2 linked regions of the Caenorhabditis elegans genome follow. The protein of the gene in region 1 purifies or fractionates together with the protein of each later gene. This does not show direct contact. Each region holds a gene or a part of one and is shown in the gene's direction. Other genes may lie near its edges.

Region 1 (4,748 bases):
GTGCCTTCTCATTTCTCTATAGCAACTTTATTTAATAATTCATTCTTTTTGATGTTCACTGCTGTTGAAGCTACTCTCTATGTTCTGCTTGATCTGCTCATCGTGGCGGTGTTCATGAAAGCAAGATTGATGTGTTATGAATAATGAGGAAAAGAGAGTGAACTGCCAAATCCAAATTTTATGAATTTGGAGAAATAACCAGACCTCTTTTGGCTCAGAGACACACTCATTTTACGACCTTCTTCCGTGACATATAGAGAGTAATGCGGACGAAAGGATTTCGAGAAATCTGTCCGATCGACTTAGCACAATGCTCCGGAAGTATATAGTCTGTGGTGTCACAGGTTTTTTTTTCGCATCAAAAATTTCATGTCTCCAAGTCGATGAAACTGAATTGTATTTTTTTATTTTAGAAATAATTTTTTTAAAAAAAATTTTTAAATCGCGTTATCCAAAGAAAAAACGAATAATTCAATAGAGAAACTAGGCTTGATCGAAAGGTAGACCAGAAATTTTGCAATCGTTTCGAGACCCGAGCATGTGCGCTCTGTTGCGCGCCTTTGCTACAGTACTTGCATTTGTTTTGTTTCGCCGCCAAAACGATTTTTAACGAAAACTCTGAATTTTCTCTGTTTTTCTAGTGTTTTTACTTGTAAAACTACAAAATTTATTAGTCTAAAAGTAAATTAAAACATCTGAAAGTCGTTTTCGATTCGAAATAACGTTTAAATCACATTTTCCGTTAAAAACCTGATCATGTTCCCGTTTTGAATGTTTCAGACGCGCTGTGTTGAAAATTTAGCTTTTTTCGGATAAAAATCACCTATTTTCTGTCGTAAATGATTTGTGGCCCAGAATCTTTGAAGTCTTGTTATTCTTTTACCCACGCATCCATACGTCTCATAGGTGACATCTCGTGCGTAGAACATTTTGAGCAACAAAAATCGAGTAGCGTGACGCGAACGCATTTTTCTTTTTTCCTTTTCTTTCCTGAAAACGTCCTTGAAGAACGGCCGCTTCTGAAGAATGGAGCAGCTCTCGTTCTGATTGCAAAAAAAAACGAGACAACCGGTAAAGTACAATGCCATCGGCTACCGCCATGCGCAGATTGCGTCGGTTCTGTGTGTGTGTGTGTGTGTGTGTGTGTGGACTGTCAACGAATACATCTATCACCCCCGTTGACTTCTCCTCATGCCCTTCTTTTCTCATCTTGCATTCCATTTTTTCCACCTTATGTTTTTGTCTGTACTTTTTTAAAAATAACTTTTTTTGTTGATAATTTTCGAAACTTTTTTCTCTTAATTTTATTTTCGTAATGAATCAAACAACAGATTTAATTTCTTATTCTCATCGTTAATCCAACGTGCTTCCTCATGGTCACTTTTCGGTCAGCGGGGTAGATTCCCATGAATTCTCGCTTTTTTTCATTTGCATAATCGGGAAAAGGAGAAACCTAGACAAAATAAGAAGTTCTTTATTTCATTCTTCTGATTTTAAAGTCTTTCGTTTATTTTCCGGTTTTAATGTAATCCCAATTTTCGAAATTTTAAAGATGAATCAGATTTTGTACGAGAATAGTTTCATTTGCACAAGTAGTAGTACAATTATTTTCTTGAAAATTGAGGGAAGATTCTATTTTTTCAAACTAATTCATGTTTGTTTAATTCTTAACGTTTCCTTTTTTTTCATTTCTCGTTGTTTTTTCTCCGAACTTCTCTCAAAATTCTTCGCAAGCTTTATTCCAATTTCAGGATAGAAAAAGAGTATCGAACGAAGTTCGACGCGATTCTAGATCACGTCGAAAGACCACCATCATGAGGAGCTTCATATTCCTCTTGTTACTCACTGGCCACATATCATCAGGTGAGAATTCTTTTGACGTCGAGGACATCATATCGCTTCGAAAATTGTTTGATTGGCGATTCATGTTGACATATTTGATTGCAACATCATTTTACGCCCTTTTTTGTTGTTTTTTAATGGCAAAAATGAAAATAAATATGGAATCAAGATATTCAAAGCCTTTTTATAGAAAAAAATTGTAAATAAATAATATTGAGAAAAACGCTGAAAAGCATTTGATGTGCTCAAATTTATGAACAAAAAACAAATATTTCTATAACAGAAACAATTGTCAAATATCCATATATATGTAGCAACATTTCTAATAAAAACTGTTTCAGGCAGCATAGATTGGTCAGCGATCGAAACTCCTCCACAATTTGTTCACGATAAGAATGCAGATACCGTTTACTTTAAAGTCGAAAAAAGTGGAATGAGTGATGAATCGGCGAAAAATACGCCCGGTAATCTGCTCGAACAAACGATTCATTGCTATGCAAATGGAAATCCAAGGCCTTCGTAAGTTTTTTGTAATGTTTCTGAAAAAGTAAAATTTAGAAAAAAAAATGAATCTTCAAATATCTTAAAATAATTTTTATTGAAAATTAGACTTGCATGCAATACTAATTGGGAAAGATACGGTAGTTTCTATCTAAATTTGAAAAAAAATTCGAAGTCTTTTTACTGCTTCTAAAATTGCTTTAAAATCCTTTTGGCAGTTTTGGTGGAGCATTAAAAAATTTGAAAATTCAACATTATGCTCTACGAACAGTTTCCATTTGCATTTTTATTTTTCAACTTCCAGAATTAAAAAGTGTTCAAAATATGTTTTTTATACTATTTTCTTTATTACAGATATCGTTGGAAAAAGGATGGTAAGACGTTCCTGCCGTCCATGTTTCCGGAGAAAGTTGTTCAGAAACCAGGAGAAGGTGAATATTTTTTGTTGTTGTAAAAATCTAAAATTGAGAGAATATGGAACATTTTTGAAATTAAAAAGATGGAGTAACTGAATAGTTAAATGTTTGTTTCAAATTATTATTCTGATTTGAAAAAAGTTCACTTCATTTAAATATAAACAAATTTGTTTTATTTTTGTGCAATTATAAAACTCCCACATGCAGGAAAAACAGGAAAACAGTTTTTCCTCAAATCCAAAAAAAATCGAAATTTTCGGTTAGGCCTAAAAACCGAGAAATATTGATTTCTCATTAAAAAAAAGTTCGGTTTTTCAGAAAACCTGTTCTGAAATAAATATGACATTTTCCAGGAAGCCTTGTGTTCTCCCGTCTTGATGAATCTGATGCCGGATTATATCAATGTGAAGCTGAAAATTCGAATGGAACAGCTGTTGATCGTCCTGTCCGTGTACAAGAAACATGGATTCGTCATTTCAAAACTGCGGAACCAGAAGTTGTAGTTGTCGAAGTTGGAGATCCGTACCAAAGAAATTGTTCTCCACCTGCTAGTAATCCATACGCAAGAGTTTATTGGATTCTTATGGGAAAAGAACCGGGACATTTCGAAACTATCAGTAGTAGTCATATTTCTAGCAATGAACAAGTGAGTGATAACAGTTTTTTTTTTCATTCTTTTTACAGATCGTTTCTCGTAACCTCATTGTGCCAAGAAAACTTTTCTCATTCACTCCCTGTTCTTTGTAAACCAAAATCAAACAATTTTCATAGAATTGAACGATTTTTGGAGAAAGATTGAAGAAAAAACTATTCAGTGCTTCTGGCTGTATCGTATTCAATTTTTCGAAAAAAAAATAACTAGACGAATAATCTCTGCGATTAAGTTTCAAATTTGCTGCTCGTTCCAATCTTCAAATACTAAAGAAAACTTCAATTTCCATGTATTTTTTTTCAATTAAAATCAAATCAAACAGAAGTTTTTAAAGTGTTTCGATTCTATATTTTGAAATTGTAACTCGTGGATGATTTCGACGATTCTCGTTTTTAAAGCCAATTCGAAAACTACTTTCCCATTTTCCCAAGCCAAATTGATTTTTTTTGACAACATCTAAAGCATTTTTGTTTCGTTCTCACGAAAAGTACGTTTGAAAATATAGCATATGATGGTCAGCTTTAAACACTTATTTCGACGAATTGATAATTTATCCGACAAATATGCAATCAAATTATATTTTTACATTTGGCATTTTTATGCTAAAATTTCCTGTTGTTAAGTTGGTATCTGTTTCTAGTGTACGTACTAACAATTAGGTCCTTCTGTCGATTCTTGCCTTCTATTCATACATCATACCAATATACATCGCCCTTCTCACTATTATTATATTCTATGTCCAAATTCTATTGTAACCCCTATAATACAGACCCTTTTCCCGACGTCTCCATCAGATGAATAAGTTTTTTTTTGCGTTACAACAACACCTGTCCACTTCTATTTGTACCTTTCCGCCACCATTTTTCCGTTGCGTAATTCAGTAGTTTGCAACATTTTTTCCGTTGTTATTACGTCTCCATCGCAATTAGTTAGACATACCCCCGGAGGTTGAAGGATGAGAAATGACCTTCTGAAGTTTAACCAGTTGAAATGAGAATATTTTGAAGTGGATAGAAAGACATTAGCTGCTCCTAAGAAGTAACCCTTTGAGCTTTATCCTCCATTCACACATTGTGAAAAGTGGCCTCACATAATATGAACGAAGATGATGATACTGGTGTGAACCTATTTGGAGAGGAGAGAACGGGAATGAGAGAAACGAAGAAAAAACAGATTAGCTGCTGTTAAGTGGTGGTTTTGTCGTCTTAATTTGATTGAAATTTTTTGACGAGACCTTTCAATTGTCTCCATTTTTTTGTTTTAAATGATGAAAAAGCTTACTTTTTTAGCGAATCAAAAAGCAGTTGTTTTTGTATGCTTTTAAAAATAGTTTTTAT
Region 2 (4,946 bases), on another chromosome or scaffold:
CTTGGGCAAGACTCGGGCGAGGGAGTTTACACTAGAATTGTTGAAGTTGGGTAAGACTTGGGCATACACTGGGCTAGAAGTTGGCAAGAGTTGGGTAAGAAGCTGAAAAGGCCCAAACTTGGGGAAGAAGCTGCCGGGAATTGCCGAGTATATATGTATATTCCTATTTTCCCGGCGGGAGTTCCACTCCCAATACGCTCGTAAAATATTTTCATCGTAGAATAGAAAACTTGTCGAAAATGAGTGTCAGTTCCATGGACACGTCCTCCAGAGAGTTCGTGCATACAAAATGATACATCAAACATTTGAAGGGCACCGCAACACAATGCGCAAATCCTCACACACATACGCCAACACTTTCTTCAGGTGTGATAAATGAAAAGAGTGCGAGAGCTTGTGTGACATGTCAATCGGTGTGTGGATAAATTACCCCAAACACACACTTCCGATAGTGACAGCCGTGGTGTTCGTCACTCCACACGAGGATAACCGAACGCGGGTGCTCACCGAGATTCACACCATCTTAATTGGTCTGTCTGTGATGAGCGGGCTTGGAAGAGCGAAAGACAACGAATGCGGTGGAATTGGGTTAAAGTTTGCCGACAACCCGGAAAAGATTCAATCTCAAACGGAAATTGAACATTTTGATTAATGAGTTTATAAGCGAAAATGTGTTGGAAGGAGCAATTTGACACTTTCTTTGGGTTTTGGATGCTGACGGGAATATCTTGCAATGAGATTGATTGGGTGTTGACATACAGTTTGAGAGGTCTCTTGCATTAGTCATTGGTCTTTATGATTTACCGAATCGTCGGATAAGAATCAGTATGCGAAATTAAGCATAATTTTATAAGAACGTTTTTCATGAAAATACTTCGTAAAGCTTTTATGACACGGTATGGATATTTACTGTAAAGTACCGTATTCCTCTAATTGAATTTACAGTATTCCCCTCGGTTGACCGGATAAAAAACAGCTCATTATTTGTCCACAGGATCCTTTATTCGATGCCAAGTGTATTCTGTGGTACTCGATATGACGGATGAATTACCACCAAATTTGAACCATATGTCGTCGACAATTCCGATGCTTGTCTTCTCCCACCACTTGTCGTCGTCATCTTCTGCTCAATTATCTTCGCACCATAGTCAATATGAACACTATCCAGAGAAAAGAGTCACCATCACCTTTTATTACCACACACACACACACGGGTACACCAATAAAAGGGCAAGTCGTAAACGAAAAGCGCCTGCCTGCTGACATTTGGTGATGCCCACCCTTTCACATCTGGCATCCTTGACCACTATTACAGGAAGACGTTTGTTTTTTTTCAATGCCCGTTTGAATCACTTTAGAGCATTCTCTATAATTTGGAGCTTTCGTAAAATCACTTTGAAGGGAAAATTGAAGAAATCTAGGGAACAGCCGGGTGCAATCGAGAACGGGGGCGAGTGGAGCTGCACAATTTAACAGAACCTCATGAATATATGATAAGTTCGTGAATGCAATCTCCATCAGAAACCTTAGCATGACGTTGAGATTTTAGGAGCAAAGTTTTGCTTGAGCTCAGATGATAATGATATTACATAGATCTTCACATAGATAAGCTCAACTTCGTCCTTGGAGATGGTTCTGAAATTTTTTAGAACTATTATATTCAGTCAAACACCCTCTTGCTTCCAAGAAAACTCAAGCATCCACCACCCGACGCCAAAAACGCCTGAAGCGGGAATAGATTTTCTTTTAGTGGTGTGATAATTGCCACCCTCTGGTACATGAAAACAACATTAGGTGGTGCTGTCAGGCACACATTGCTTCTTCCTCTTCTATCCGGTCATCCTTCTTCTTCTTCTTCCCATGGGTGGTGTCTCTGTTGACCCTCCTTCGCCTTAAGCCCCGCCCCTTTATCCGCCCGTCCCCTTCGCCTTCTCATGGTGTTTTGCCTCACGTTTGCTGCTTCTAGCTGCTGTGTTGTTTGTCTTCTGGAGAAGTCAAGGATTCTTTGTTCCGAATTGGAACAATGATTTCATACATTTTGCTTTTATTTTTAAGTTTTTTGGTATTATGCTCTATTGCACTACCATCATCATGTCCGAATCTTTGTGAATGCGATCAAAATGACTCGTCTTGGAGTGTTTATTGTCGAAAGGCAATCATAAACGATACGATTTACGCGGAAATTCTAAACCAACTTCCGTTGACTCTTCGATCACTTCATATTCAGGTTAGTAAACGATAAGATCTAAAACCACAACGTCCGTCCGTCAATCTAATCCCTTCATTTACATAAATTGTTTTAGCCGCCCTCAAATCGCATTGGTTCTAACAAACTTCGATGGAATGACAACATAAACCGTTTTGCACAGCTTCGAGTTCTTCGTCTCATCAATTGTCAGATTCCAGCAATGTCCCGATCCATTCGACTGCCATCTTTGGAAGTATTAGATCTACACTCAAACAATATTGAGCATGCGACAATGAGCAACTTTGGTGGTATGCCAAAACTTCGAGTATTGGATTTATCATCGAATCATTTGAATATTCTTCCAACTGGAGTATTCACATATCTTAGAGCCCTGCGATCATTGTCTCTATCCAATAATACTATCAGTGATCTTTCTACAAATTTACTTCGAGGTCTCAATTCTCTTCGAGTTCTACGACTAGACCGGAATCCTATTCCAATTGAACACATCAATGAGTTATTCACAGATGTTTCCCAATTGGATGAATTATATTTGAATCATTGCAATCTTTCATCAATTTATTCTCTGGCTCTTGATCGTATTCCTCAACTCCGTCAACTTGGAATCGGAGGAAATAATCTCAAAATGGTTCCAACTAAAGAACTGAGATCTCTTCCTCAACTTTCTGTTCTCGACTTGTCTCACAATTCCATTCAAGAAATCACAGCCTGTGCATTTTGCAATACGAATATCTCAAAATTGGATCTTTCCCACAATTTGCTCGGAATTTCGAAAGACTCTCCGTTTAACGAGGATGCGTTCCGAACGATGCCATTACGTCATCTGGATTTGTCATTCAATCATATGAATGATTTTGACTCAAAATGGTTGGGATGGGCACAAGAAGAGCTGACTTCGATTGCATTGTCAGGAAATTTCTTGAAAAGTGAGTTTTTGTAGCAAAAGTTAAAATAACCCCAAAACTAGATTTTTAAAACTTTTTAGATTGTTTTTAATTTAAAAGTTTTTCCGATTTTTAAATTTGAAGAACGGTTTTTCAAAGTTACTAGAGATGGCATAATTAATTTGTAATTTTAGATTTCGAGGAGTCATGGACCTATACATTGAAGTCGTTGATTCATCTCGAACTGGCCTACAACCACATCAAATTCATCCCGGTACAGCTGCCGTCTCGCTATTACCACCTGATTTCATTGAACATTTCCGGAAATGAATTGACTTATTTGCCTGACAATATCAACACTTTGCTTCCAAATGTGAAAGTATGTCCATTTTCTATACGAAATTCGAAGCGTTTGTGGACCCCCTTATATGGGGACACGCATGTCATTTGAAACCTGCTCACTGAGATTTCTTTAGACTTTCGACATCACAGCCAACCGATTCCACACCTTCTCGCATACAGATTTGGCATTCCTAAATAATGTTGAACAAGTGTACGTAGATGGAAATCCTTGGGATTGTTCATGTGCTATTCAAGGACTTCAAGTGAGTCTTTTCCTCTCTTATTTCTGAATTAATTCGAACATCTTTTCAGGTTCATATGCGAGATCGTTATGCGATGAGACACATTCTCAACTACGATAATGTCCGATGCGCGACACCATCGCTTGTGGAAGGTCATTCAGTTCTGGCAATTACCGACGTAAGATTCACATTCACGTTATTAATTTCACTATTTAAAAACTTCAGGTAAACGACTGTGCCGTTTTGTTTGGTGCACGGTATGGATTAACGCAAACAAGTGAAATGCTCATACTTCTCGCAGGAGTTCTCCTTTTTGCCGCACTACTTCTTATGATTCTTGGATGCATCTATTTCCTTCGTGAGCGACAGTACAAAGGATCATATGTGACACGAGAACACTCTCGAACTCCACTCACGATGGCAAACACACATAGTTGCTCTTCGAGTACAAATGATACACATGGTCCATTATCACCACCATTTGATCCATTCTTGGTTAGTACTGAAACATTTAAAGCCACTCCTCCATTGATTCCACCAGCACCTCCAAAACCTGGATCATCCTATTTTGGCATTTAAATATCCTTTTGAGAGTTTCAAATGTTTCAAAAATCTAAATCCGTGTGATTATTTGCATCCATCTAGTCGTTCGATCTCCCAGCCCCATTTTCATGTATTTTTGCCCCCTTTTTCGATACGGTGTTCAATTGTTTAACCCTTTGTCTGTAAATAAAATAAACTGCTCGTAGATATACCAAGTTCAATGAAATAGACAGGAGCCTTAATCAGCAGCATAATAGTAGTTTTCAAGAGGTAAGACACCTCTTCTCGGCCGTAAATCCGTCGGCAAAGAAGTAATAAATCGGCGAGGCTGTTGTCTTTACGCCCTGGTTCTCTGTGGGGGTCAACTCATTTGTCAAATGCACACCAAGACAAATGCATAATTGAGAAGGTTTCGAGAAGGAGAGTTGACTTTTTCGTTTAAAAAAACTCCGCGGGAAAATCTCCGTAGCCACAAAATTTTGACGTTTATGAATTGAAAATTGGTTGTTCGACAGGGACTCGTTAATTTATGAGTTTATGAGCCATTCGAATAATAAATTGATGTGCGTATGTATGTGCACACGCGCGCGAATTCGTGGATGTAGATTGCACAATCTGTTATGACACGTCGTCTCATCCGTTAGATTCCCAAGTGACACCCAAAACAATTGGAGTAAGCCAATGCCAATTAAGTTGGATAGATGACCACGAAGAACAAGACATAAC

What was found. Proteins that work in one complex are often made in the same cells at the same time.
Region 2: the proteins of sax-7 (region 1) and dma-1 purify together in Caenorhabditis elegans (affinity purification with western blotting; 2 studies listed by BioGRID). This does not show direct contact.

Annotation. Positions count from the first base shown.
Region 1 is NC_003282.8:8,060,918-8,065,665, forward strand, and holds the start of sax-7 (Neuroglian), read left to right. Parts: upstream 1-1,741; 5' UTR 1,742-1,814; coding exon 1,815-1,863; intron 1,864-2,183; coding exon 2,184-2,361; intron 2,362-2,697; coding exon 2,698-2,774; intron 2,775-3,112; coding exon 3,113-3,405; intron 3,406-4,748.
Region 2 is NC_003279.8:8,280,043-8,284,988, forward strand, and holds dma-1 (LRRCT domain-containing protein), read left to right. Parts: upstream 1-1,926; 5' UTR 1,927-2,023; coding exon 2,024-2,227; intron 2,228-2,303; coding exon 2,304-3,135; intron 3,136-3,287; coding exon 3,288-3,472; intron 3,473-3,569; coding exon 3,570-3,698; intron 3,699-3,747; coding exon 3,748-3,855; intron 3,856-3,902; coding exon 3,903-4,256; 3' UTR 4,257-4,435; downstream 4,436-4,946.